7 linked regions of the Neurospora crassa OR74A genome follow. The protein of the gene in region 2 binds, or shares a complex with, the protein of the main gene of each other region. Links are inferred from orthologs where the notes say so. Each region holds a gene or a part of one and is shown on either strand. Other genes may lie near its edges. The genes, in order: NCU03625, NCU08395, NCU01614, NCU03778, NCU06354, NCU00505 and NCU09880.

Evidence for each region.
Region 1: NCU08395 (region 2) and NCU03625 share a complex: the UniProt entries of both Saccharomyces cerevisiae proteins name them as parts of the U4/U6-U5 tri-snRNP complex. The link is inferred for Neurospora crassa OR74A from reciprocal best matches to the Saccharomyces cerevisiae genes DIB1 and SMD3.
Region 3: NCU08395 (region 2) and NCU01614 share a complex: the UniProt entries of both Saccharomyces cerevisiae proteins name them as parts of the U4/U6-U5 tri-snRNP complex. The link is inferred for Neurospora crassa OR74A from reciprocal best matches to the Saccharomyces cerevisiae genes DIB1 and SMX3.
Region 4: NCU08395 (region 2) and NCU03778 share a complex: the UniProt entries of both Saccharomyces cerevisiae proteins name them as parts of the U4/U6-U5 tri-snRNP complex. The link is inferred for Neurospora crassa OR74A from reciprocal best matches to the Saccharomyces cerevisiae genes DIB1 and SMD2.
Region 5: NCU08395 (region 2) and NCU06354 share a complex: the UniProt entries of both Saccharomyces cerevisiae proteins name them as parts of the U4/U6-U5 tri-snRNP complex. The link is inferred for Neurospora crassa OR74A from reciprocal best matches to the Saccharomyces cerevisiae genes DIB1 and SME1.
Region 6: NCU08395 (region 2) and NCU00505 share a complex: the UniProt entries of both Saccharomyces cerevisiae proteins name them as parts of the U4/U6-U5 tri-snRNP complex. The link is inferred for Neurospora crassa OR74A from reciprocal best matches to the Saccharomyces cerevisiae genes DIB1 and SMD1.
Region 7: NCU08395 (region 2) and NCU09880 share a complex: the UniProt entries of both Saccharomyces cerevisiae proteins name them as parts of the U4/U6-U5 tri-snRNP complex. The link is inferred for Neurospora crassa OR74A from reciprocal best matches to the Saccharomyces cerevisiae genes DIB1 and SMX2.

What each region holds. Positions count from the first base shown.
Region 1 is NC_026505.1:1,887,150-1,890,922, forward strand, and holds NCU03625 (small nuclear ribonucleoprotein Sm D3), read right to left. Parts: upstream 2,460-3,773; 5' UTR 2,276-2,459; coding exon 2,228-2,275; intron 2,157-2,227; coding exon 2,096-2,156; intron 2,008-2,095; coding exon 1,878-2,007; intron 1,744-1,877; coding exon 1,632-1,743; 3' UTR 501-1,631; downstream 1-500. Other genes in the region: NCU03624 (hypothetical protein), read left to right, coding at 1-466. UniProt on the Saccharomyces cerevisiae protein: Plays a role in pre-mRNA splicing as a core component of the spliceosomal U1, U2, U4 and U5 small nuclear ribonucleoproteins (snRNPs), the building blocks of the spliceosome. Also binds telomerase RNA and is required for its accumulation.
Region 2 is NC_026507.1:1,106,290-1,110,472, forward strand, and holds NCU08395 (pre-mRNA splicing factor Dim1), read right to left. Parts: upstream 2,801-4,183; 5' UTR 2,621-2,800; coding exon 2,445-2,620; intron 2,377-2,444; coding exon 2,302-2,376; intron 2,232-2,301; coding exon 2,051-2,231; 3' UTR 1,701-2,050; exon of another isoform or gene 1,647-1,700; 3' UTR 471-1,646; downstream 1-470. Other genes in the region: NCU12034 (hypothetical protein), read right to left, coding at 3,091-4,183. UniProt on the Saccharomyces cerevisiae protein: Essential role in pre-mRNA splicing. Also essential for entry into mitosis (G2/M progression) as well as for chromosome segregation during mitosis.
Region 3 is NC_026502.1:2,951,739-2,955,151, reverse strand, and holds NCU01614 (hypothetical protein), read right to left. Parts: upstream 2,181-3,413; 5' UTR 1,870-2,180; coding exon 1,762-1,869; intron 1,560-1,761; coding exon 1,468-1,559; intron 1,358-1,467; coding exon 1,285-1,357; 3' UTR 501-1,284; downstream 1-500. Other genes in the region: pp-2 (protein arginine N-methyltransferase HSL7), read left to right, coding at 1-46, 153-335; NCU01615 (hypothetical protein), read right to left, coding at 2,606-3,413. UniProt on the Saccharomyces cerevisiae protein: Plays a role in pre-mRNA splicing as a core component of the spliceosomal U1, U2, U4 and U5 small nuclear ribonucleoproteins (snRNPs), the building blocks of the spliceosome.
Region 4 is NC_026505.1:2,382,706-2,385,902, reverse strand, and holds NCU03778 (small nuclear ribonucleoprotein Sm D2), read right to left. Parts: upstream 1,971-3,197; 5' UTR 1,759-1,970; coding exon 1,733-1,758; intron 1,634-1,732; coding exon 1,601-1,633; intron 1,453-1,600; coding exon 1,401-1,452; intron 1,324-1,400; coding exon 1,118-1,323; intron 1,033-1,117; coding exon 990-1,032; 3' UTR 501-989; downstream 1-500. Other genes in the region: dak-1 (dihydroxyacetone kinase 1), read left to right, coding at 1-417; NCU03777 (mitochondrial 3-hydroxyisobutyryl-CoA hydrolase), read left to right, coding at 2,723-2,845, 2,920-3,197. UniProt on the Saccharomyces cerevisiae protein: Plays a role in pre-mRNA splicing as a core component of the spliceosomal U1, U2, U4 and U5 small nuclear ribonucleoproteins (snRNPs), the building blocks of the spliceosome.
Region 5 is NC_026504.1:2,807,277-2,810,027, forward strand, and holds NCU06354 (small nuclear ribonucleoprotein E), read left to right. Parts: upstream 1-1,173; 5' UTR 1,174-1,342; coding exon 1,343-1,483; intron 1,484-1,547; coding exon 1,548-1,574; intron 1,575-1,629; coding exon 1,630-1,698; intron 1,699-1,768; coding exon 1,769-1,822; 3' UTR 1,823-2,080; downstream 2,081-2,751. Other genes in the region: NCU06355 (karyopherin), read right to left, coding at 1-24, 104-193, 276-404; NCU06353 (hypothetical protein), read right to left, coding at 2,081-2,718. UniProt on the Saccharomyces cerevisiae protein: Involved in pre-mRNA splicing. Binds and is required for the stability of snRNA U1, U2, U4 and U5 which contain a highly conserved structural motif called the Sm binding site. Involved in cap modification.
Region 6 is NC_026501.1:8,193,101-8,196,352, reverse strand, and holds NCU00505 (small nuclear ribonucleoprotein Sm D1), read right to left. Parts: upstream 1,847-3,252; 5' UTR 1,720-1,846; coding exon 1,706-1,719; intron 1,588-1,705; exon of another isoform or gene 1,487-1,587; coding exon 1,319-1,486; intron 1,241-1,318; coding exon 1,051-1,240; 3' UTR 501-1,050; downstream 1-500. Other genes in the region: NCU00504 (hypothetical protein), read left to right, coding at 1-392; pkr1 (ER membrane protein), read right to left, coding at 2,407-2,910. UniProt on the Saccharomyces cerevisiae protein: lays a role in pre-mRNA splicing as a core component of the spliceosomal U1, U2, U4 and U5 small nuclear ribonucleoproteins (snRNPs), the building blocks of the spliceosome. Also binds telomerase RNA and is required for its accumulation.
Region 7 is NC_026501.1:6,357,876-6,361,576, forward strand, and holds NCU09880 (small nuclear ribonucleoprotein SmG), read right to left. Parts: upstream 2,391-3,701; 5' UTR 2,277-2,390; coding exon 2,247-2,276; intron 2,106-2,246; coding exon 2,034-2,105; intron 1,975-2,033; coding exon 1,900-1,974; intron 1,841-1,899; coding exon 1,760-1,840; 3' UTR 1,442-1,759; coding exon of another isoform or gene 1,248-1,441; 3' UTR 1,130-1,247; coding exon of another isoform or gene 805-1,129; 3' UTR 501-804; downstream 1-500. Other genes in the region: NCU09881 (hypothetical protein), read left to right, coding at 1-12; NCU10125 (hypothetical protein), read left to right, coding at 805-1,129, 1,248-1,441; NCU09879 (hypothetical protein), read left to right, coding at 2,720-2,822, 2,922-3,701. UniProt on the Saccharomyces cerevisiae protein: Plays a role in pre-mRNA splicing as a core component of the spliceosomal U1, U2, U4 and U5 small nuclear ribonucleoproteins (snRNPs), the building blocks of the spliceosome.

The sequences.
Region 1 (3,773 bases), on a different chromosome or scaffold from region 2:
TGCTACTACTGCTGCTACTACGGAATCAGAGACCAAGGGAAATTGGCCTGCGCATATCCCCTTCACAAGAAACTATCTACTAGCGGAAACTGTTCCGGCCCTGCAAGCACTGGCGCAGAAGCTCGTGCTACAGTCATCAACATTAGCGGGAGCCACCACGGCACTCGGCGGCATGTCCTGGCTCTCTGGATTCGGAATATATGAGTGTGGAGCCGTCGCCGCCTTGGGTATTGTTTTGAGTTTGAGGGGCTTGCAGAAAAGGTGGGAGAGGGCGAGAGATTTCTGGGAGGGCGAGGTTCGTGAGGAAGGACGCAAGGCTATTCGCGCAACCGAAGCCAGCATTGCCGAGGTGCTGGATAGCGTTTCTCCTGAAGTTCCCGAGGATGTGGCGGTTGAGATTGAGGAGCTGAAGGAGGCCAAGAGTGTCCTCAAGCGGGCCGAGGAAGCGCTTGCGAGGCTGAAGTAGAAATGATGGGTTGCAACAGATGTTTAGAAGGACATTCTGCAAACCGAACTTGGTCAGTTTCGGACTTCTTGTGCTTATTATTTTCCACAGCCCTCTCGCCCTGCCTGTTAGTCCCTTAGGTGGGTGTTTTGACAATATGCCCTCTCCAACTCAACCCTTAAACAGCCAGTTGTATATTTAGTCTACACGATTCACTCTCACTCAGAGCATTGTTGCAAGCTCGTCTTATGCGAGCCTCACATATAGGGACAGGCGGGTTAGAACCGGCGGACGCAACAGATCAACCAGGGCTACACTCTTATGTACCATTAAAAAAGCAAGCCGAAGTGGGAGTAAAAAGGGGGCATCGGACTTTTGTGGTAGATATCAAAAACTGTCAGCGTAGGCTGAAGATGGAATGGGTTGTGTGTACAACAACATAATAGACAAAGACGTTGAATACGTACCCTGTCTATATCAGAACCAGGGCTAGTAGGAGTTTCGCTTTCGGTGCGATTCGATCCATGCTGTATGTGCTCGCTCCTTGGCCAAGGACTCAACTGGGGGGAGACCTGAGGCTGGCTGAACACCTGGTTCGCTCTGGCTGCTAACCGTGATGAAGCCAGGTTTTCGTTGCGTGCTGACGGACGGGTAGCGGCTGTTGCATCGACCGACCATTATCGTCCAGCTGGCGGAGCGTGAAAACCCCTGGATACGCCACGCTTCTCCCATGATCATCATTTGGCAGCAGATGGATGAGCGGGGCCAGCTGGCGTCCTCCATATCACTCCTCATCGAGGCTCTCAACCCTCCAATCCCAGCCCCAGCACTCACTCCAGTCCCTTCTCATCTCTGGCCGGCCTTGAGCCACCCTCCTCCCTATCCCTCCTGTTCCTCCTTCTCTGGGCATCCAAAGCTTGCCCCCCACACTTTTCTCTTTCCATCCAACTCGCTGCCCCCCATTTTCGGTAGAAAGAAGATCAAAGTTTGCTTTATTGGTTCCCCCCACCCAAAACGCCTAAAATATCAAAATAGCGGTTGTCGTTGCGCGCGGAAAAAAAAAAGGAGCCATAATATGCCGATTATTGTGCCCCAATATTGCATTCCGTTGTGAAATTTTCAATGATTCTCGGTCTGGGTCTGGTCTTGGTCGATGAGTCTGACGACAGGCGGCGCTCGCTGTCTTCTATCTGGCGCCGCCACGACCACCGGCGCGCGCCCTACTGACTGTCGCACGACCGCGGGCGAGACCGACACCGCGGCCGCGGACGTTGCGGGAGCGGAACATGGGGGCGTTTCTGTATGGGAACACAAAAAAAAGAGGAGGAGGAAATGATTAGCTTGGGTCCTATCCGACTTATTGGGTAGGTAGGGGGCAACTGGGGAGAAGAATCGCAACGGATGAGTTGGTGGTGGCCTGGTTTGAACGTACCTCAACATATCCGGCACAATAAAGAATCGCACATGACTGCCGCGGATGTAGACTTGTTCGAGATGGCTGACGCGCCCGTCGCGGGCTGTGACGGTGATGTCCTTGAGTTGGACGTTCATGTTGTCCTCGGCTGTTTTGCGGGGGAGCGCATTGGTTAGCATGGCTGGCCAGTTTAGAGGAGTGAATGGGAATGAAGAGTTCATGGGGGTTAGCAGTACCTTCGATAAGCTTGCCACGGTAGGTCTGGCCGGAGGTGATCTCGAGAGTGACGATATGGCCCTGTGGGACAGGAGTGGTTGGTTAGCTTTTGGCAGCACTACAGTCTGTGCATAGCAATGGTGTTTACTTACCTGAGCCTCATTGAGGAGCTTGATGGGGATACCAATTGTGGAAGTCATGTTGGCGGCTGTGTTATTACGTGGTGAGGTTGGTTGGCGATGTGGAGGGGCGAACTGATCTTTCTTGGTGTTGGTTTTAGAGATTACCTAGATGGTATGCCGTAAGTACAGGCGACTTGGTTCGCGATGATAGTGGATGCGATCAGTTGCCTTTGACGTGAACGCGGCAGCCCTGTCAGCCCGGTGCTGCTGGGAATTTCGTCGGAGAGCTTAGTTGATCTTGTCAGCTGCAAGACAGCTGCCAGATCTCACGGTACGTACCGCGCATTGAGGTCCTACACTACAAGGAAGTGTGGAGGCTTCCCCACACGCCTCTTCTGCGCTGTCCCCACATTCAGTGAACTGGTGGTCTTCGGTCATCCAAAACCTCGTCATCGTCACTGACATAAACCTTCTTTCTTCAACCCATTGGCAGTAAGTGGAATTTACCGGCCTGCTGTCATACGCTTGTACTCAATCAAAGTATGAACTGTCTGGTTCAGCACCCCGAACGCCGTTATCGCTCAACTTTCCTGGCTCATGTTCCGAGTCGTCGCATGATGGCGGCCGTCACGGGGATGGGATTGTCCAACGCATTGAACACAGCATCCCCAACCTTTTTCTCAATGAGGCCTTCTTCGATGTTCTATACGCTGAATTATGTGAGGTCCTTCGGTTCTCAATTCACCCTTGTCCCCGAATATTGGACAGTCACTCCCCTCCCGCTTTGCCCCATACCACCAGCCAACCGTTGACGAGCAACTCCCACATTCTCGACGGCCTCGTCTAGCCATTGCCTATCAGCCAAGGACGGGACGTGATACAGGACAGAAAACGCCCCTCGACGTTCTCCAGACTTCCTCGCGCCCCGAGAGATGCCGTACCCGGGTCCTTCTGCATCATGCTACTACATACATGCCTCCATCCTCGCTCCCTGTCGGCCACGACCACGGCTTGCACGGCTACGTAGTCCAGCGAGTAAGGGGCCATCTGGCCTTGTCCCATTTTCAAAACGCAGTGACGGGCTGGCCAAGTGGGCCGCCGGCCAATTGCTGTGTTGTCAGCTTGATGCCCAAACCCTATGATCAAACCCCACGAACCGCCCCGGCACCGCTGAATGGGCGAGGCAACTAACCGTCTCAACCTCGAGCTGCGGCAGGTGGGTTTGGCGTGGACTGATCTTCCATAGCACTGGCTGTTATAGGCTGCATGCATGTGCATCGAGAGACCATGATCTGTGTGCGTCTGCTCCTCCGTCTTGGTTGCTCCGAGTTCTCGGTCTTTTCTCTCCACCTTCTTTGTTATCTCGCTGTGTGAGCTGGATCGTGTGGTGATGGTGCGGTACTAGCAAGCTTTGACAAGCTCGACGGCAGCTCCGGTTGCATCCCACCTCCCACCATCATGTCCTCGTCTTTGCCCTGATTGGACGTCTCACCACTCTCCAGGAGGTGTCTGCCAACTTCTAGCGCTGGACGCTACATGACATCTCAGTTCCGAGTGGAAGATCTCTGGTCTGGTC
Region 2 (4,183 bases):
ACGACAGGAAAATGATCAATCAACGGTGCAGCTGGTTTCACCACATTATTTTGGTCTCGTACGACGGGGAGTCCCAGACTGTGGTCGCCAGCCAAACAGTGGAGGCACCGCCAAACCAGTGCAGGGACAGACAGGGATGCCGTGAACAGGGAGCGAGGGCGGCACTGACGGAGACAGCGATACATAACGCTCAGCGGCCCCCGGCTACCTCTAGGCTCTAACTAACGGCGGGCAGGCACCAAATGGAGGCAGCAAGCCGGGCGGGCAGGGAGACCCCTGAAGGCGGGCCGCCTTGGTGGGAAAAGGGAGCTGGACCTGGACCCCTCCATGCCCTCGTCGCCCCCTGACCAGATTCGAGACCAAGTTACACAGCTTTTGACATTGCCGATTCTGCATCATTTGGGTACTCTTTACGCCTATCCCGAGCGAGGGCCATTCGAGAGGATGAGTATGCAGAGTATGCTAGAACCGGAGTATACTGTTTAAGATGCGATTGAAGAAATGACGTGTATGAAATGGGAAAGGGGCGGTAGTATTGCGCCTTGGTAGTTGTTTGTCTCCTTTTCCTGTCCATGGCCAGATGGCAAAGAAACATATGGTTGGAACACAAAGCCACCCTCACCGCAGTTGTACAATGCTAACGGGAAACGTTCGGTTGTCATCAGGCTTGAAAGGAAGAGAAAGACGAGACCTGATACCCCATAGTGGACCAGTTCAAAAAAAAAGAGAAGAAACCAAACTACACTTCGACATATCATTCCAAAGCCAGGACTCCCGATGACGTTGTGGACGGATCGTTTCCAGAGCTTGAAATTCTCGTCATTTTGTCAAAGCGTCCAAAAAGCCCATCGCCTTCTTCACTGTGACGGGGAGAAAGAGGGAACCGGTGAAGCGAAAATAAAGTTGAGCCCCCCCCCCCCCCCCCCCCCAACCCTTACCCCTGAAACCCGCCAAACCAACGGCTGCCCGGTCGCTTCACACGCACCCATAACGCCCCTTTCAGGATTGGGTTTAGACCGCCCGCCCGGAAAACGTCTTTGCGCCTATGCATGGCATTGAAAAACGAAGAGCGCCATCGCGAAAGAGGCTGACACCGAGAACAGAGTGGCTTCCGAATGGTTGAGGTACTTTCATTGTTTGTCATTCCCGATGCCGTCTGTGTGACAAAGGTGCCACTCGTTTTGGGTATTAGGTGACATGTGATACGTGCGAACAATGTTTATGTTTCAGATCCTACTGTACCAAGGGAACGGTCAGTGACAGACAATGATGCTGTCCAGGGGGTTGGACGAGTCCATCTCTTGCTATCCAAGAACTAGAATAGCATGAAGGTTCTGCCAGCCGTACACCCTGGACTGAACTGCAGATCTGCGAATATCGCGATTCCGCTGAAACGGGACGGCAATTGTCGATCTCGCCATCCCCGAGTAACGGGGTGGTACGATACAGAGATACCGAGCAGCGCCAGTCTCGGTTTCGGATCCTCAAGATATCACCAACGAGGCCTGTAAAGGACAAGCCTGTAAAACAGCCTATGGCATTCCGTGAACATTCACGTGCAGCCCAGTGAACAGTGATGAATCACTTGGACGGTATCGCAAGGATTCCGTCGGTAGGTACGATGGAATCAATTTCTCTGGCCGGTTCTGCTCAGCATTAGCTAGGTACATTCGATGCCCAATCGATATGGTTCCGCTTGCCTTTGTTTTTTTTCCACGCTCGCGTGCTAATTCCTCAAAGGCAGCTCGCGGCTCGGCGTGGGCCCAAGCCAACCATCACTTATTCGTCGCCGAGTTAACAGCCGTTTATCCATTTGATTACGCCGCAAGATGCCCGTGGTAAATGAATTCCAGAGCAGGGCTGAGTCACGGGAACCAACTCCAGGCTCCCCAGCAGCCTCCAGAAACCCTCCTCTGTCGCTTCGCCTTGAACTTGTTGTTACTTCGTCGAGTAAACCCCGTACCGCGGAATTTTGCGTCTGCCAGATCTTGGGGAGTCGTTCTCGTTGTTGTTGTTGTTGTTGTTGTTGCTCCTGTCGTTATTCGCCCTTCTAGTAGCGATGTCTGGTCGAGTAATCCTTGGGACTAACCACCAAACCGCGTCCCTTCTTCGCGCCGCGGTAGACCGTCTCGATGATATCGATCAGTTCTTGTTTGTCTTCCAGTACCCATTTGATCTTGTTGTTGTCACCGGTGCCGAGATCAATCATCATGTGTTTATTTCGGAAGAAGCTGTGCAACCAAAGATTGTCAGTGACTGTCTCGCAACTCAAAATGGTGATCAGGCCGAAGTAGTACTTACAACATGAGGGTGCATTCGTCGTATAACTCGTACATCTGGTTGAAATCAGGAACCTTGTCAATATCGCAGAGGTAACTGGTGGTGTGGCGATGGGTCAGCAGGTGTTGATGGAAGAGTGGGATCGAGGCCGGAGGGAGACGTACATGACTGCAAAGTTCTTGACCTTGTCGGCGATGCGATAGAGTACTTCATCTTGGCGCATGCAGTCGGGGCTGTGATCGCGGCCGAAACGGATAACCACCACACGCTCGTCTTCGCTTAGAATGGCTTGGTCGACGTGCCAGCCGGTCTCGAGATGGGGAAGGACGATGGAGCCCATGGTGATTGTGGAAGTTGTTGAGCGAGATTCGGTGGTTCCGTGAACGATTACTATTGATATCAATGTCGGATATGGCGAAAATCAGAGGGCGAAATCCCGTAGAGGGTGTAAATGGTTGAACAAGAAATCGAATGTTGAGAGACGATGGATGATGATGATGTCGATTGCGACGCGACTGCGGTCGAAGCTCGTCGAAATTCCCCACTGCTACTTACACAACCTAACCTCTACGGCTGGCTTACATAATAAGCACCTTATCGATAAGACATCGAACTGGCCGGAACCAAGGGAGGACGGGCTTCCACTTGGCGTGCCGTGTGCAGCTGCGACTTTGGTTCACTCATCACCAACCTCGTCGTCGTCACCGTTCTACATAGTACTTTGTCTCTGGTTCATTCGTTTACTCTGACATAAAGTTTTATCACTCCCGCGAACTTAGTTGTACTTGTCCAAGTGCGGCAAGGTACACTTTAGTCACCCCTCCATCGAATTCCCCAATTACCCTTGGCAAAGTGTGGCTCGACGACCTTGCCTCCTGGCATCACGCACTCGCACGTTTTCTTGTTGCCATCAGGAGAAGACGGCACATCAAACCCAAACACCACTCCTCTTCTCGCCACCGACTTGATCATCTCCTTTTGTTGCGCCTTTCTGTCCCCCTCCGCTTTCTTCTGTCTGATTTCTTCCTTCATTTCCTCGCTTTCTGCCTTCCGCTCCGCCCGGCCCTTTTCTCCGCCCACGCTGCCGTTCACTTCGGAGACCTCTTGGGGAGGACGAATGCGCGTGCCGCTGCGGACAGCCAGACGAGCGACCTCATGGCCGCCCGTGGTGTACGGATGGGATTTGCCCTTGGGTAGCGGGGCTATCTCATCGTCAAAAGCTTTGTCGCCCAACTGCAGAGCATCAATCTGGATGCCGCCGATTGCCGAATCTCTACTCGATGGTCTGCCGGCTTTTGTTGAGGTTGACTGAGACTCTTCGTCTGTAGAGGTAATAGTGTCCTCGTCATTGGGCCCCACGCTTGTCAAGGCCCTCGACTTCCGGTTCTTCTTCCTCCCATACACCTTTTCGGCGTCCTTCTCCCTTCCGAAGACAATTGTCTCCACCTCTTCCAGCGTTACCACTCTTCCCTCTCCCTTCTTTGGCTTCACTCCACCATTCTTCCCCTTCTTCTTCCCGTCCGCTTGGCCATCGGCAAGTTGCTCCATACCGTCCACCATCTGCCCCTGCAACAACTTGACGTACGTCTCCTCGATCTGCCTTTCCTGCTCTTTTATGTCCCGCTTCTTGTGTTGGGACTCACTGCGACATCTCGACGTGCAGAACCTGCTGACTTCCTGTTGCTGGAGTTGGCCTGGCTTCTCGTCTTCCTTGTCCTGGTCTTTACCGCCACGCTTGAATCCCTTGCTTTTGCCTGCTCCCTGCTTCTGGCTTGCAGCAGTTGACGCGGGAGCTCCAGTGGTGCCAAAGGTGCGCTTGGGGTCAATGAGCTTGCCGCAGCCTTTGCAGTACGGCTCTTCGGGATTGTTTTGGAACTGTGAGAGGAGGTAGTATGGGGGCGGG
Region 3 (3,413 bases), on a different chromosome or scaffold from region 2:
GAGCAAGGACATGATTTCCTGGTTCCCGATTTTCTTCCCTCTTAGGGTGAGTTTTTATCTCTTCTTCCTTCATTTCTTGTTTTTCTTGACTTTTCGCTCCTCGCTCCTGCTTTGGTGACGATTACTGACCCTGTTTCTTCGACGATACATAGCAACCCCTCTACTTCCCTCAGGACACCGAGCTAGAAGTCAGCATGTGGCGCCAGACCGACGACACCAGGGTGTGGTACGAGTGGATGGTTGAAGTGTATGCTTGGGTGGGTCCCAAGACCCGTATCAAGGTTGGCGCTTCTGAGATGCATAGCAGTCGTAAGGTTGCCTGCATTTTTGGTTAGAAGAGAGGAAATGTAAAAACGGAGGTAACTAGGTACCAGTAGGTGGTGGGCAAGGCTGGCTAGGTCGGGTGTTAGGAGTGTGTAAGTATGCAGCTGTAACAAACGCTGCGAGGAAAAGGTCAAAAGTCTTGTTTTAGCGAAAGAATAAAAGATTCGAAGTCAAATGGTGGATAGAATGTTCATAATTGGGAAGGCGCGCGATGTGTATGATGATGGTGACTGTCTTTGCCTGTAGTCGTGTGATGTATAGGCAAGTGGAAGTTGAGACTAACAGAAATTCACGCCGCTCGTTCTCTTTTTCTTTCAGTTGAAATAATACCTGGAAACCAGACGCCATGTCCGCATGTCTAACTCAACCCGCCACTTCCTTTTCTTTGCTCAGTACCTAGATGATGTGTGGTCTTGACAGATTTTTGTTTCTTTCTTTCCTGTTAAGCTGAGTATTGTTCCAACATCTTATTTTAGCCTTTATCTTCAAGGAAAGGCCAGATGGCACATGCTCCTTTGACGGTCTTGCGCAGGAGATGCAACGAAGGTCTCTACCAGACAGAGAGACGCTCGGTACCCATCCATCCATCCATCCACCGTTCACTCTCTCTTGAAGCAAATCCGCCCTTCCGTACCACTCTCCACACCATGCGCGCCCGATATCATCAAAGCTGTTGTCGCACCTTTCGTGAAGCGCACACTTTCATCATTGGGAAACGAGTTTTCGGCGAGCGGGTGCGTTGTGGTTTGTGCTTCGGTTCGGCTCGGTTTGGTTTGGTCGGTAGAGTAGATCCATCTCTTCTTCTTCTTCTTTTTTCCTCCCAGGGTATTATAGTCGGAACATCACGACCCTCCCTCCTCACACATTCCTCCTGTCTGTTCTGCAAATCGCGCCCTTCACCACCCTGCCCGCTAGTCTAGGCTACCCTTTCATTTCCTCCTCCTGGTGGCGAGAGAACTTTCACTCTTCCATCTTGACGTCGCCACTTGTTTCCGCCTCGTCGGCCTTCTTGATGTAGAGAACGTTGTTACACCTATTGTTGAAGTCCATAATGTCAGCATCCCGGCTAGTTGATACGAGATGGGGGATTGGGTCGTCCGTATGGAAAGCCGTAGCAGTGGGATGTATTCAGTATGGACGTACCTGATCAGAACCTGCCCCAAGGCGCCCGTAAACTTGCGGTTGATGTACTCCTTTGTGTCGCTGAGCTGAATGTTCATGTAGCTATCGATGCTCTGTTGTTCACATGCACACACGCATTTCGTCAGCCTCTCTCTCTTTGTTCTTCCTTCGTTGCTCCTTGGTCCTGCCTGCTGGTTTCCCCCTCCCCTCCCCTCCCCATCGCTTCCCACAGCTGTGTATGCCAAGACCAAAGTCCAGCGGCAAAGGGAAGGCTAGATTGGAAGAAAGATGCTGGATATGTATATATATACGTACAACAAGACGGCCAACATACTCCGTCTCTCCCCACTTCAAGCGGATCGTCACAAAGCTGTTGACGAGATCTTGAAGGAAGGGACGGGGGTTAACTGGGACAAAAGACATGTTGTCGGTTTCGGTTCGAAGGGTTGGTTCTTGGTCAAGTGCGTGGCGCCTTGTGTGTGTATTCACAGGCTTGCTGTTGTTGTTGTTGTTGTTGTCGTCGATGGGACGGCTCGAAAGTTGGATTCGCGATTCGGCTTGGTGCTAATGGAATTTTGTATTTGTCGGTTTTCTTAGATGTGTAAGAGTGGGTTGTGGTCGGGTGGACGCAACAAGGTCGAGGTTATGGTTATGAAAAGTTGGGAAGAGAGATGGGATTGGCGTTGATGCTATGATGGAAGAAGCTCCAACTGGGACTGTGCCTCCAATGCTGGACCTTTGCGGCGTTGGAGTAGCGCGACGATGGAAGTTCCTCTGTTACGAGGGACATGTGGAGCCCTAACGCGATAGCTGATTGGACGTGGCAATAAGCCTGTCTGATTAGTAGATTACAGGGTTAGGGTTGGTGGCTAGAGGATACTTGATGTTGTTGACAGCGACGATGATGAGCATCACCAAGACCTTTATGGCGATCCTTTTGCTTATCATTACTCAGGTACATAGCTTAGTGTATTCTTTCACTTCTTCACTCAAGTTTACCTGGTGACATCTCTCCCTGATTATTTCCGATGCCCACTTACACCTTCAGGTCAAGACCCTCGAAGACGCCGATGTTTTGAAACGAAATGGAAGGGGACTGTTCAGGACCTGACAGGAAGTCATTTTGAATTAATAAAGTCCCATACTGGGTGAAGATATTTTACTCAATCTCCTCAATCCTAGGTCTACCGCCGAACATCTCAACACCGCCACTACTTCCACCACTATCATCACCACCATGGGAAACCGACCTCTCCGGGTCGACAACCAACCCAGCCAGCTTCGTTAACCCACCACCACCGAACCCTCCTCCTCTTGCCTGGCTCAACGACACTTCATCCACCAAGCTATTCGTCTTCCAATTCTCCAAGCTCTCCAGCACATCCCGACAATACTCCCTGACCAACCCATCCTCGTCCGTCTGCTCCACATACCCCAAAATCGTCCTCAGCTGCTCCTGCGTCTCACTCCCAAACGCAATCCCCAACACCCTCCCCTCGTGCTTCGCCTCGTCCATGGCCTTGATAAAGCTCATAATCAGCCTCACCGCCGCCCTCCTGAGTATCCCCTTCTCCAGCTGCCGCTCTACCTGCACAACATTAATGCACAGATCCACGCTCGCCATCGTCAACACCGCCGCGACACCAACAATATTCGTCTCGATGCAATTCGCCAGAATTGACAACGCAGAGGCACGGATCCTTACATCCTCTTCACCCGTTTTGGAAGTACCAGACGACCACCCTTCTACAATCGCCTCCAAGATATCAAGCCTAGCCTGCTCCTCAGCAGAAATCGGATCCGCCATATCCGGCACGCTGCCGTCCCACGCGTCTTCGGCTTCTTTATGCTTCTGTTCCCGCGCCTTAGCCTCGCGCGCTTGGCGCGCCATGGTCTTGGGCCGATGCCCCCGGCGCGATGCCAGGCTGATCAGGGCTTCGCATGTCATCTTGGCTAGGTCGCCGGTG
Region 4 (3,197 bases), on a different chromosome or scaffold from region 2:
GTCGGTGGAGGGGAGTCGGACAAGAAAGCTGCTGATGAAAATGCCTGGGCCGCAGCCCTCAAACTGAGCTGTGAGGCCCTGTCCAAGTACACGCCCGCTCGTCCCGGTGACCGCACCCTGGTTGATGCCCTCTATCCCTTTGTCGATGCGCTCGAAAAGACCGGTGATGTGAAGAAGGCGGCCGAGGCTGCCAAGCAGGGAGCTGAGGGCACCAAGGGTATGAAGGCCAAGTTGGGCCGCACCGTCTACATTGGCGGGTCCGGATTCGAGCAGGTGCCGGATCCGGGCGCTTGGGGATTGGCCAAGTTCTTCCTTGGACTGGCTGGAATTGAAAAGGCTGATGATTCCAGTGCTAAGCAGGCCAAGGGATCGGATGATGGATGGGAGGAGGTTACAAGAGAGGCGGAATTGCCGTAAGAATTGGTGCTGTATGTGATCTCGATATACCCCTAGGTAGTTAGTTTGCACCACCATTTCAATGACGTACCAGGAACACCAATACAAATCATCCCGTTGCTTGTCGTTAAAAAGCACGAGAAAACATGACCGCGTCTGCGAAAACCTAAACACGGTCTGGGTATTCTGTTCGATCAAGTTACCAGAAATGAAAGATAAAAAGTTAAACAAAACCAAATACACGTTTGAACGCCGAGCTCACACTAGTTTTCCCTTTGTATGACCTTCCTAATAGCCCCTGAAAATCTGCTTGGGTTTCTCTTCTTTCCTCTCGTTCCTGCGCGGCGCCTTTTCACGGGGCGTTTTGAATTGCTTTCGTGGTTGTGTCGTCATCATGGTCGATCGAGCGGTTGAGTAGTAGTAAGGTGATATAGTCCGCATGTCTCTCGATTCAGTCGACCAACAATAGGTACCCTTCCCGGGCTCATCCCCACTCCATTCGAGCCATTAACCCTAAGTTGTGCTGGCGCGTGTCTTCGCCGTGCAAGTGAAATAAACCTCCAACCTATACATTTTGCCGTGCTATTCGTGAACTAGCTGAGGAGGACAAGGATGACGGAGTCGCCTCTCAGGAACCTGCCAGGAAAGTGAAACATGTCAGCCATTGATCTTCGCTTCTCCTGGGCGAGAGAAACAACAGATGAAAAGGAAGTGCACAAACATCTTGCTGATAAACCTGTCCTTGTTTACGGGCTTGCCCTTCTTGCCATTGGCCAGTCGGGGCGTCTCGGTCCACATCTCCTTGACGTTCTCCAGCACCATGTTCATGTGGCGATCGAAAGCCTTGACGCGCGCAAGGATCTTGCGCCCATTGCGGACGGAAATGAGGACTTGGGAGTGGCTGCGGACGGCGGTCTGGAGGATGGACTGCCAAAAAGGGTGTCATATTAGTCGCTGCTCCGTGTCGAAGGGGTGGTAGATCAAGGCTTATGGGGCATATGTACCAGAGGACCGGCGGAGAACTCGTGCTCTTCGAGGAGAGAAACTTCGTATTCACTGTATCAGACGAGTTGGTTAGCTTTGTGATTTGGCTGGGCGGGCGTCGTGGTCTTGGGTCGCAAAGAGGAGGAGCTGGGAGCAGCAGGGCGGGCGAGATGACGATGGTAACAGAGGGAGGTGATGTTGACAAGAGGATATAACGTACGTAAGCTCATTGCGCGGCTTCGTGAGAAGCTCCCTGTATAGTAGACAGTTGTTAGTCAAGTTGGTTTCCTTGAAGCGTCCATGGGCTGCCCGCGCACATGGGTTGATGCTGGAGAGTGGGATAGCTACTGACTGAATCTTTGCATCCGCTGAAGCCATGACGATGGTGTTTTGGTCTAGAGTTGAATTGGAGTGGTACTGAAATGTAGGAGGGGCAAATGAGTTGTAGTTTTGTCTTTGTATCAAAAATGGTTGTTGACGTCGAGTGGTTGCTTCGCGTGGTATGGGTTGGTGGTGTACGGTAGAAGCCTGGACAATAGTTGCTGTAATGGATGCTATCGCTATCTTCAATCCACGACGGGAAATGTTGCAGCAGCGGAGGGCCAGGCGCGGCGGCGACTCGGAGCGTGGAGCAGCTACAGCACACGCGCCAAGCTTTTCTGGGAACAGAACCGTCTTCAAAGTTTGGCGATTGGATGACAAGCTCACGGTGGATCCCAATGCGAAAGGCTGAGGACCGCTCCGGTGACAGGTGCTGCCAGCCCCGCCGAACCCGACATGCTCCCCCGGACAGCCGGGACATCGGGTTTCCAGTGAGCGGAGGGCCCGAGCGTCGCTTCTGGAAAATGACAAGTTTGAATGGATAGAGGTATCATCGGCCGGAGGATATTCCAGCTTCTAGCGATAGCGGCGGGGATTCGGCAGGTTCCACAGCTACCTCTACACTATGTATTAGCTCCCCCGTACCTAACCCCGCCCCGGGGATTGCCAGGCGCGGTGCCCTTGAAAATCAATTGAAGCTGGAGCTCCATTTCGCGTTGAATTCCAGCAAAAAGTGGATTTGCAGATACTCTCGCTATCACTTATCACGGTTCCTGCATCCACGCGGCATTCAGATCATTGGTGATTGTTCTCCCGTTTTCCCTTTCCCAGCCCAGGAAAACGAGTCCCGAAAAAAAGTGCCCGAGTCCCTTGGCCGGTCTATGATGCAACAACGGTGCTAAACAGCCTCGGGGTGGATTTTGGACTTAGTATTTTTCTTCCATATTGACCCTGGGTCTTGTTATTCCATTCCTATTCTAGACAAAGCCAGCCAGCCAGCCAATTACCGAAGTGTACATCGATGTTGGTCTCCAAGTCCATTGCCAGCCGCGCCGGCTTGGCTTCTGCTGTTGCTTCTCGCAGCTGCCGACCAAGCTTCACCGCGATGCCGCTCAGAGCCAAAGTCCTGGGCCAGCAGGCCCCAGTAAGACGCTCCTTGGGAAGACAAAAGCCATGGACACGGACACAGCTAACACGCTCGCCGCCCCCTCCTCCCAGATCTCGACCCAAGCCGCCGCCGAGTTGTTCAAGCCCGTCGAGGGTGACGAGCCCGAGGATGTCCTCTTCAACAGTCTATATAATCTCCGCTCCGTCGAGCTCAACCGCCCAGCCAAGTACAACGCCCTCAATGGCTCCATGATCCGCAAGATCGCGCCCCGTCTCCTCGAATGGGAACGCTCCGATATGGCCAACGTCATCGTCATCAAGGGCTCCGGAGAGAAGGCCTTCTGCGCCGGTGGTGATGTTGCCGCGCTGGCCAAGCAGAACGCCGAGGG
Region 5 (2,751 bases), on a different chromosome or scaffold from region 2:
TTGCGTTGCGAGGTCGTAGGTAATCTGAGAATCGTGAATGTCAGCGGTGCGCGACATACAAGCGTAGCGGTATCGTCGTGATCCAATGGGTATCTGTAAGTACCTTGCCCTTCAGTGTCGTTGCTGCGAAGAGTTGCGCCTCGGCTTCGGGAGAGCCCTGCAAGATCGATATTGTGGTAGTCCAGGCCTCGTTCTACGGTCGATTGAGAAATGCGGGTTAGTCACATGCGAACCATAGGTGTGTTGGCGTCGAAGGAGCTGAAAGCCCAACTGACCGACTTCTGAAACTTTTGCAGGTAGTCCATGGCGGCCTTCTTGGAACCGGAGTCACCACTCCGCATCGTCAGCATGGCCTGCAGGACATTTGGGGTGGTGAAGCCGTCTGTGGCGCCGTTGGAAGCCATGTTGGGCAGCTTCGGATTGTGTATGATGTGATTTAGCTCGAATACAAGTGTTGTGATGGCAAGTGTTGCGATGCGGTGTTGCAAGTGGAAGCTATCGCTGGGGTATCGCAGGTCGCAAAGTGGATGGATCAGCCCCTCCTATTCGACAGGAGTGTTGTCCGACTTATCGGTCTTGCGACGCGATGGAAGCTTTCAGGATATGTTGTTGTAAAGGCGAGGAGCTGCGATGCGCACGGGGTATATGAAGCTCCAGAGAGGTTGCAAGAATAAAGGACTGGGAGGTATTGTACGGTGCCGCCGTGGTGACAGGATTGCTGCAAGTTGGAGGTTGCCGGCGACGATTTGCTCTTGAGCGTCCAAAGAAACGACGATTGAAAAACATCCCGCCAACAATCGAAGAACGTCAGGCTGCCTGACACCGACCGACCGCGAGTGGAGTAAACGGCGGCGGGCAAGCGGGTCAAAGAAAGTGGAAGCACATCCTGCACCGCCATAAGTGGGACAAGCGGGAGGGGCTCATGCTACCCCAAACTGAAGATTCTGTGGCTTGAGAACCCAAGCAGCTCGGAAAAAGTGAATTGAGCTGAATGCCAAGAGGTTATGACACGACGCTGTGGGCCCAGCAGCATGTAACTAAGTGCACAGACCAGCTGAGCAGCTCCCGTCCCGTCCCCGGCGGGAGGTGCTTGTGAAAACAAGAGCTCCACACGCCAGAGACAGACAGGCAGGCAATTCGACATTCGGGGGAAATTCATTGAAGTCACGTCCCGGCCGTAGAGAGAACGCGTCTGGGAACAACTGCAAGCCAAGCCCAGCCGACCAACAACGACCATCCACAACTTGATTGCGACTTACTTGTTCAGCCTCCACATCACCATCAAACTTCTGTCCTAAACACCGGCCAAACGACCAAACCACAACAAACTTTTATTCTCAACATGACCGGCAGAGGTGGTGGCGGCAACCGCCGTGTTCTTCTTCCTCCCATCAACTTCCTCTTCCGTCTTTTGCAACAACACTCGACCGTCCAAATCTGGCTGTACGAGCAGCTTCACATTCGCATCATCGGCACCATTCGTGTAGGATTCTCCATCGTGACCTCCCCGAAGAGCAAACATAGGTGCTGACAATTCCGTCTTACAGGGCTTCGACGAGTTCATGAACCTGGTGGTGAGTAGCGGCGCATGTCCCACTAGCACTACGAGACCTAACCCCATTTCCACAGATCGACAATGCGATTGAGGTCAAGCTGGTCTCCAAGACAAACGAGACGGAGGAGAGGAGGGAGCTTGGGGTAAGAATATGTTTAGGGCTGGACGTCGATGTTGTTGTGGCAGTGGAAAGGGTGGCTAACTGGGTCGCAGCAAATCCTCCTGAAGGGCGACAATGTCTCGCTCATCCAGAGCTACTCCGGGTGAAGAGCTCCAAACCTGAAGGAGAAGCGGTAATCGACGATGCAATTTACGCTGGGACCTACATCGAGCGACGAGCCAGCAGATCTAAAGCTGTACATAGACGGCCCACAAAGATGTGGTGCGTGGCCTTCTACACAACAAACGACACCGAATCTACGAAAGAGATACCAGGGAAAAGCGATTGGCCGAGGCGCACAGGAATGTCGACTATATGTATTTGATCAAAGGAAGGCAGTACGGGATGGATATCAGGTCATGGAACTATTTGGGTGCAGGAGGGCTCTTAATCTCGCCATTTCCGAGTATCAGGCCGTCCAGAGGTTGATCGTGGCGACCAACAGGTACCGACCCCTCGGATGGAGAGGATAGAAACTGCTCAGACAGCGCTAAGCCATAAAGCAATACAGGGGTTTCCTGCTTCCCCAGCTCGACAGACTTTTGGTTGTGCCGGTTGATGAAGTAGTCGTAGAAGCCTTTGCCGTGTCCGAGCCGTCTGATGGCCCCAGCTTCCGGGTCAATGTCGAAGGCCACGCCGGGCATGAGGATCAAGTCAAGCAGGGTTTGGTCGGAGTGGTGGGCGTCGGGACCTCCAAACACCCTCTGCCGCTCATGGACCGTGGCCGGGTCGATGCTGGGAATGCCCCATCTGTCTGGCTTGAGGGACTCATAGTCGTGAAGATCTCTGAGGCGGACCATGTCCATGACGCGGGCTGGGAGGTTGGGCGAGGCCAGAGGGTTCTTGTGAAGATACGGGATGAAAACCTCCTTGCCGGACTCTAGAGCGTGCCTGACGATGCCATCGGTCTGGATCTCGCCCGTGGGCATGGACAGGAACACGCTGACCCGTTTGGCGTCTACGTAGGGCTTGAAGTTCCTCAGAGTGTTGAAGACCACAGAACCTGCAATTGCGGATTTAGTCTGCGCTGGCAGTA
Region 6 (3,252 bases), on a different chromosome or scaffold from region 2:
TCGTCTCCCCCTTTCGTCCCGGATCGGTAGATGTCCTAGTCTTCAACCCGCCCTACGTCCCTACGCCTGACTTGCCTGCGCCGCCACCGACAGGGTTGCAGGCACTGAAGGAGAAAACGACGTTTGAGGAAGACTCACATCTCTTGGAGTTGACGTATGCTGGAGGGAGGGATGGGATGGAGACGACGGATAGACTGATTGAGGCCTTGCCGGGGGTGTTGAGCGAGAGGGGGGTGGCGTATATTCTGCTTTGTGCGCAGAATAAGCCGGAGGAGGTCAAAGGGAGGATCAGGGTGATGGGTGGTGAAGGGAAGTGGAAGGCAGAGACGGTGGGGACTAGTGGGAGGCAGGCGGGTTGGGAGAAGTTGCAGATTGTGAGGGTTTGGAGGTGAATGGAGGGATGAGATGCTGGTGATGAGTTGAGGATGGGGAGGAAGCTGTTGAAGAGGGTGGAAGAGGGGGAAGGACGATGGTCAGTCACGTACAAGGCTCGAAAATTCTGGGGGAAATTTGGTATAGAGAGTTGCTGATTGTGCCGCCTTCTCCAGTAGGCATATATCGCCGTCTATCTGTTTTGTGATACATAAAATAGTTCATTCCGGTGGCGGTTGGGCGCGCCTTTCTCTCTCTCCCTTCCCGCTAGCAAAGTGATTTTATCCTGTCCAGAACGCCGCAACGAAATCCCAATGCTTGCCCTCTGCTCCGATCCGATGAGGGGGAGTGGTGTTTATGTGTGTAACACTCGATGCGAATGAGGTGAATCTCGAGTGTCGCTCAAGTGAAGATCTGGGATATGCTCCTCGATTTTCTGAAGCGCACTCATCGTCGATTTTGTCGTGTCGTCGCCACCGGACGTTATTTCGGGCCGGCCTTGATCTTCCCTACCAAGACGGTCAAGCCGGTCGACCGAAGGGGGCATAAAAAACCGAAAAAAATCCACCATTAACCGTAGTATAGCATCGTATCGTCTTTGAAAAAAAATCTAATTCGCACGTTTCTGTCGTCCAGGGAGACGTACGCCGTGGCCGATCCCAAAGAAACGAGATCCGCTTAGCCACGGCCACGACCGCGGCCGCGACCCATTCCCCTTCCTCTGCCACGGCCACCACGGCCACCTCTGCCGCCGGCGCTGCGGTCCGCTTCCTTTCTCGCCTTGTTCTTGGGCTTCACGGAATCATCAACTAGCAATGTATCGAGCGGCAAAGAATCGGGGAGTATGAAGTAACGGATGGTCGAGCCCCTGTAGGGTTTCAATAGTTAGTGATGCCCTCGAAAACTGAAAAGGGCCACTCCCCCTTAGTTGAAAGGGTTGATTTACCTAATGTTCATGGCATCTAGAGCCACAGCGTCCTGGCCCTTGGGGGTCATCTTGACGTTGCGAAGCGCAGTGTCCATGCGGGGTGTGACCGAGGCGATAGTGCCGTGTACAATTGTGCCGTTCTTCAACTCAATCGTCACCGTCTCGTTGGCGCATTTCATCAAAAATCTGCAGTGTTGAAGTAACGGATTCCACTTCGTCAGCCTGGTGCCCTTGGTGTTCTTTTTCTAGTAGAGCAGCATGGACGCGCGCGAACACGGGCTGGCAGCCTTGAAGGCGAGGACTCAAAGCTCAGCATGCGTCGTGCAAGAGAATAGGAATGAAGTCGGGTGGGATGGGGTATCGGGTACATGTAGCGAAGTATCAGAAAGCAAGGAGAAATCTTACCTGACCAGCTTCATCTTGACTTATTTGGACAACGCGTAATCGAATATGTGTTGTATGGAATTGGTGGTGACAAGGTCTCGATTACCAGCTTGTTACTTTGTCAATCAACAGTCGCGACGGGAGAAGGCTTGTCGAGCTTCCTTGGACGCTTGCACAACCATCCAAGCGTCAGGGTGGAGCAGATAGCCTGCCGTCGCTACGCGCCAAGATAGAGCCCGTGCTCAATCACGTGAGCCGAGCTGAACAGGCAAACGGCGGCTTGAAAGCCCCTAACCCTGGAAGTCATGGGTTTCAAGCTATCCATAAATTGCCTGCCCTGCACATGATCTGTTCATGTGCTGAGTTGAAGCAACCAGATAATTGGGGTACACGAAGATGGGCTGGCTAACTGCCACGCCGAACAACAAGGTGTTGTTTACTATGACTTTGTCTCTGAAGCTATAGCTGTAGTTGCACAGATCATGATGCCTCATGGCAGGATAAGGACTATGAAACGAACATAGGGCTTACAGCCTTCAACTGCCTCTCCTTTCATCCAATGAAGAACGAAAACAGGGTGGATGTGTAAATGCCATCGTCGCTCAACTCCAACACGAAAGCGGACCATGACACTATTTACAGGATGCCATGGTAACTTCGCTAACACGACATTCGCTTGTACGTTCTGCGTGTGGTCGGTCCCCGCTCAATCGCCAGGATATTCACTTGTCCTTTTCGTTCTCGTTCTCCGAAACCTTCTCCCACTCATCTTCCGTGCTGACGCCGCTCTTAGTGCCCAGGCTCGGTGTCTCCTCAACCACTCTGTGCTTCAGTTCTCCAATCTGCTGGATAGGCTCAACCTCATGGCTGACCGCCTCTGCAATTGACTCCTGCCTCGTGAGGCTAGCTGTCGATGTAGCTGCCTCTACTTCTGTTTCGCTGTCTTCCGATGTGACTGGAGTTGGCGCTGCTTCTTTGGCTCTTCTCGCCTTTTCCTCTTCTTGGATTTGGTGCACCTTCAGTTCCGCCGCGAACCAGTTGATGGATCCCCAGAGTCCACCGCAGAGAGCCGAGAGAATTACGAAGTGGATACTCCATGTCGCAAAGAGGAGGCACGCCAGGACAATTTGCAGAGCGGCAAATGTGACATTTGTCGCGATAAGGAGGGTGGGAGTCGGCCCCGGAGTGAAGATCGACTCCCAGAGATTTGTAACGAAGGATGTCATTGGGAAGATTAGGCTGGCGCTATGTCGGCGTTGAAAAGTTTGACCGTGAAGGTATGTCGTGTAGAGGAAAATTCTTGTTGTCGATTCGTGTTCAGGACGATGCGCCGTGGAAGCGATGCGGACAAACGAAGAGACAAACTCGCAGTAAAGTCAATGGTTCGTAGTGGATGACTACAGTCGAAGAGAGGGTTAGTCACGGCCTCACAACCTTTATAAATGACGAGGGACAGAAGGCAGGGGACGGATGAGGATGTGCAGCCCAACCAGACAAAGCCCGTAGGGCCGAAGAGCTGGTCACCCGCCGAGAGGACAGGGCCATGGATACCAGATCACAAGACACGG
Region 7 (3,701 bases), on a different chromosome or scaffold from region 2:
TATGATGAATGAATGGAACAACGAAGCGAGCACAGACTGATTTGGGAGATGTGGGCATTCTTTGGTGGAAGTTACGCCGTGACGTATAAATCAGAATAGCTCTCAGGTGTCGCTGGGCTGTTGGAGGGAGCGTCTTGCTACTGTATACCTTATAAACGCCGTGGTTTAACCTTTTATCAATCTTCCATACAACGACATGTATATTGATTGGTGCGCTTTGTCGCAGGTGTCCTGGTGCTGCAACTTACACACCTCAACAATTCGTTATGTGATATCCCCCTATATGCCGGGCCGAGTAAACCAAGATGTCGGAGCTATCAGTTATCTACGGGTAAATGGCGAGGGGCATGAATATGGGTAATAAGAAAAATAACATGCTCATGGTTACTAAATTGCATAGAAGCGACGAGACCAGGCAGTATGTCGCGTTGATGAGCTGGTGAAGAAATCATCTTGTCGTCCCCCCTTAGCCGCGATCTCCTGAAAAACTCCATGGAGTAATAGGATAGGAAGGACTACCTCCGGATGCGGTATCCCATCTACGGCATCAGAGGATCCGATCGTACGAGACAAGTGATTTATGATAGGACGTGACTGCCGAGGACATGTCCCGCGAGATGAGTATTGGCGGCGTGGCTTGCTGAAAGATGTGACTAGATCTCAGAGCCGCCCCAATCCAGTGTGGCAAACAAAGAGTTTACCCCTGACTGCCCTTCATATACCGGACAATGCATCAACGGTACATTTCTTCCGCTTAACCTAAGAAATCAGTCAATGAGAAACCAACTCAGCAACGGCCTCAACATGACGATACACGTTCACGAACACTGCTTGCGCATGGCTAGGCGCGAGGATGGTACACCGTGGTGGGCAGCATTTCCAGAGCCAACTTCGACGCCGGTCCATATCGAGCCCCAGACTGTCCTCGAGCTTCTTGAGCAGCAAGAACATGTCGATGACATGCCCCAATCGCGCAGATTGCTGCTTGTCGATTGTCGCCGGACAGACTGCGCCGGGGGAACTGTCAGCTCATCAATCAACCTGCCCGCCCACAGCTTCTTCCCCACGCGCAAGAGCTTGTACGCTTTGTGCAAACAGGCCGGGATCCAAAAGGTGGTCTTCTATTGTGGTACGTGTTTGACTTTCTCTGTCATTGACTCTTGGGACAGAGTCCAATCAATCCTATGCTCTTTTGAACTCGTACCTCTACCGCCGACCCTCTCTAACACCGATGCTTCTTCCCCCAGGCTCCTCCGCTGGTCGGGGCCCTCGATGTGCCGCCTGGATGCAAGACTATATCAACGAAGTAGGCGGCGATCTTCAGTCGCAGGTCATGACGGGCGGGATTCGAGGCTGGGTGCGGATGTACGGCGACCGCATGGTGGACGGTTATGACGAGAAGACGTGGAAGCAGCTGTTGTCGGAGAAGAGCTGTACGTGATGAAAAACAAAAAAATCCTTTGGGTATCTTTTCTTCGACCACCGCCGCAGATGTTTCCCTTTCTAAGTTGAAGATAATGCAGCTTTCCCGAATACATGCCTCGTGTGAAACTGAACGCCGTACCAGCCAACCCACCTAGCTTTTCACCGTCCAAGACCGCGTGGAACACTGTAGATGTCGTCGTAAAGTGTAAATCGCCTTGGTATATAGTCAAATCCCGTCAATTGCCATCCGCTTATTCCGATGCCTCGCCTTTTGATGTAGGCGTTTGTAGATGCGCAGGGTCGTTTTATCGTGTTGCGAGAAGATGATTGTTGATTAGCCGCGCTGTCCTCCCCTCTCATCGCCGCCGATTCTCTCGAGAGCCTCCATCATCACAACGGAGTTACCACGAATGGTCTGTGTGCACATTCGTCAGCAGGAGACACGTCAGCACCTTTCTACAATGATAAACATACCACCATGCCAAGCTTGACCTTCTCACCACCATCCTTCTCCTCAACAGCATCGTCCAAAACAATGTTCAAGAAGACCTATGACGTCGCGAACCGTCAATCATCATGTTCGAATTCGTAAAGGGGAGATCTCGTACATCGTAGCCACGGAGAACACCAATGACCTTGCGGCTGCCGTTGAGTTGGACGAAGAGCCTCTTGTCGAGGTACTGGTTGGAAAGTGGTCGGTTAGCTCACTACACCATACTAAACAAACAATAACATGGAGTTCGAGATGCGACAATGGCATAGTCTCGACCAGCCAGCTGCCATTCAGCGTGAAAGGCAATTCTCCAAGAGTAAGTTCTTACCTTCTTCAGTTCAGGTTGTGCGGGCGCCATTGTATCTTGAGGTTGTGTTGGTTGTCTGGGATGGTCTCGAGAGAGTTGCTGCAATGAATGGCAATGGCGTCGTTCTGGCTGGGAACTCTCCACTGAAACAACCTGGAAGGCGGGCCTTGTGCAGCGCGTGCAATCGCGACCATCCCCAGTGATTTTCGGCCGCCAGGCCATCACGTGGGGACACTGATAAGATAAGAAACCGCAATTCGCGTTGCCCGTCTTTGGGTGATTGCAGTGTTCAGTGCAGTGGTGACATCCAGTCGCCCACCAGCGTCATTCTCCAGGGTGCATTTCGAAGCTTCCTAGCTGTCTGGACACCTTTTTGCACTACAAACTTACCTGTAAACAACACGCCCGCCTCAATACTACATCACTGTATTACAAACTCCCTGTCAGACAACCTACTTCCATTCTACACTTTACTCAAGTCGATCATCACAAAAATGAGCTCTTTTGGAAAGCGCAAGCCACGCATTATCCAGACCTTTGACGATGAGGATGGCGACCTTCCTACGGTGCTTGGAGGAGAGGAGCCGAAGAACGAACGTAAGTTGCTATATGGCCATGCCCATCCCTTTCCAGCATAGAAAATCTCAGTGCTGATACCAAACCAAAGAACAAGCAAGCTGATACGCCTTCGAACAGAACCAGTACCGCAAGGACCGACCAAGTTTGGGCGCAGCAAGCCTACTAAATCTTCGTCACTACGAAGAACGATCAAGATCAACGACGGTAACGATAATCCACAAGAAACCAGCGGCGACGCAATCCAACCTACGTCAACCAGCACAAGTACGGCACCCGAGGTAACAGAAGCCGAGGAGGACACTGGTGTGCCGCTCGTAGTACGGCCCGGTTTCGGCCGCTCAGTCTCCAGCAAGAAGAAGCGCATCTCAAAACTATCATTCGGAGCCAGCGAGGGCGACACGGAAGATGGCGGCAATGATACGACAACAACTGCCAGCAGCGACGTGGTCAGCGCCCCAAGCAAAAAGTCGCTGAGCCAACGAGTTGCCGAGAAGAACGCGCTTCGCAAGTCCGCCCTGACCGCACGATTCGGCACATTTGGCGCCGACGAAGAGAAGCCTCGGTACAGCAAAGAATACCTTGAAGAACTCCAAAGCTCCACGCCAGCCACACCACAGAATCTCGCCTCGCTAAGCATCATCGACGACGATGACGACGACAGCCTCAAAACCCACAGCGCACCGTTGCCGGAGGCATCTGCCGCGCCCGGGACAACGGGCGACGCCATGGACCTCGACCCCTCTGAGCTTGACGGCGCCATGATTGTTCAATCCCGCGACATGCCCCTAGCGCTCACTGGCGATGCCCCAGCAGCCCATGTCCTCACCGAAGCCGAGATCCGCGAGCGCAAAGAGCGGCGCGCGCGCCTTGCCAAGGAACACGATTTCATCGCACTCG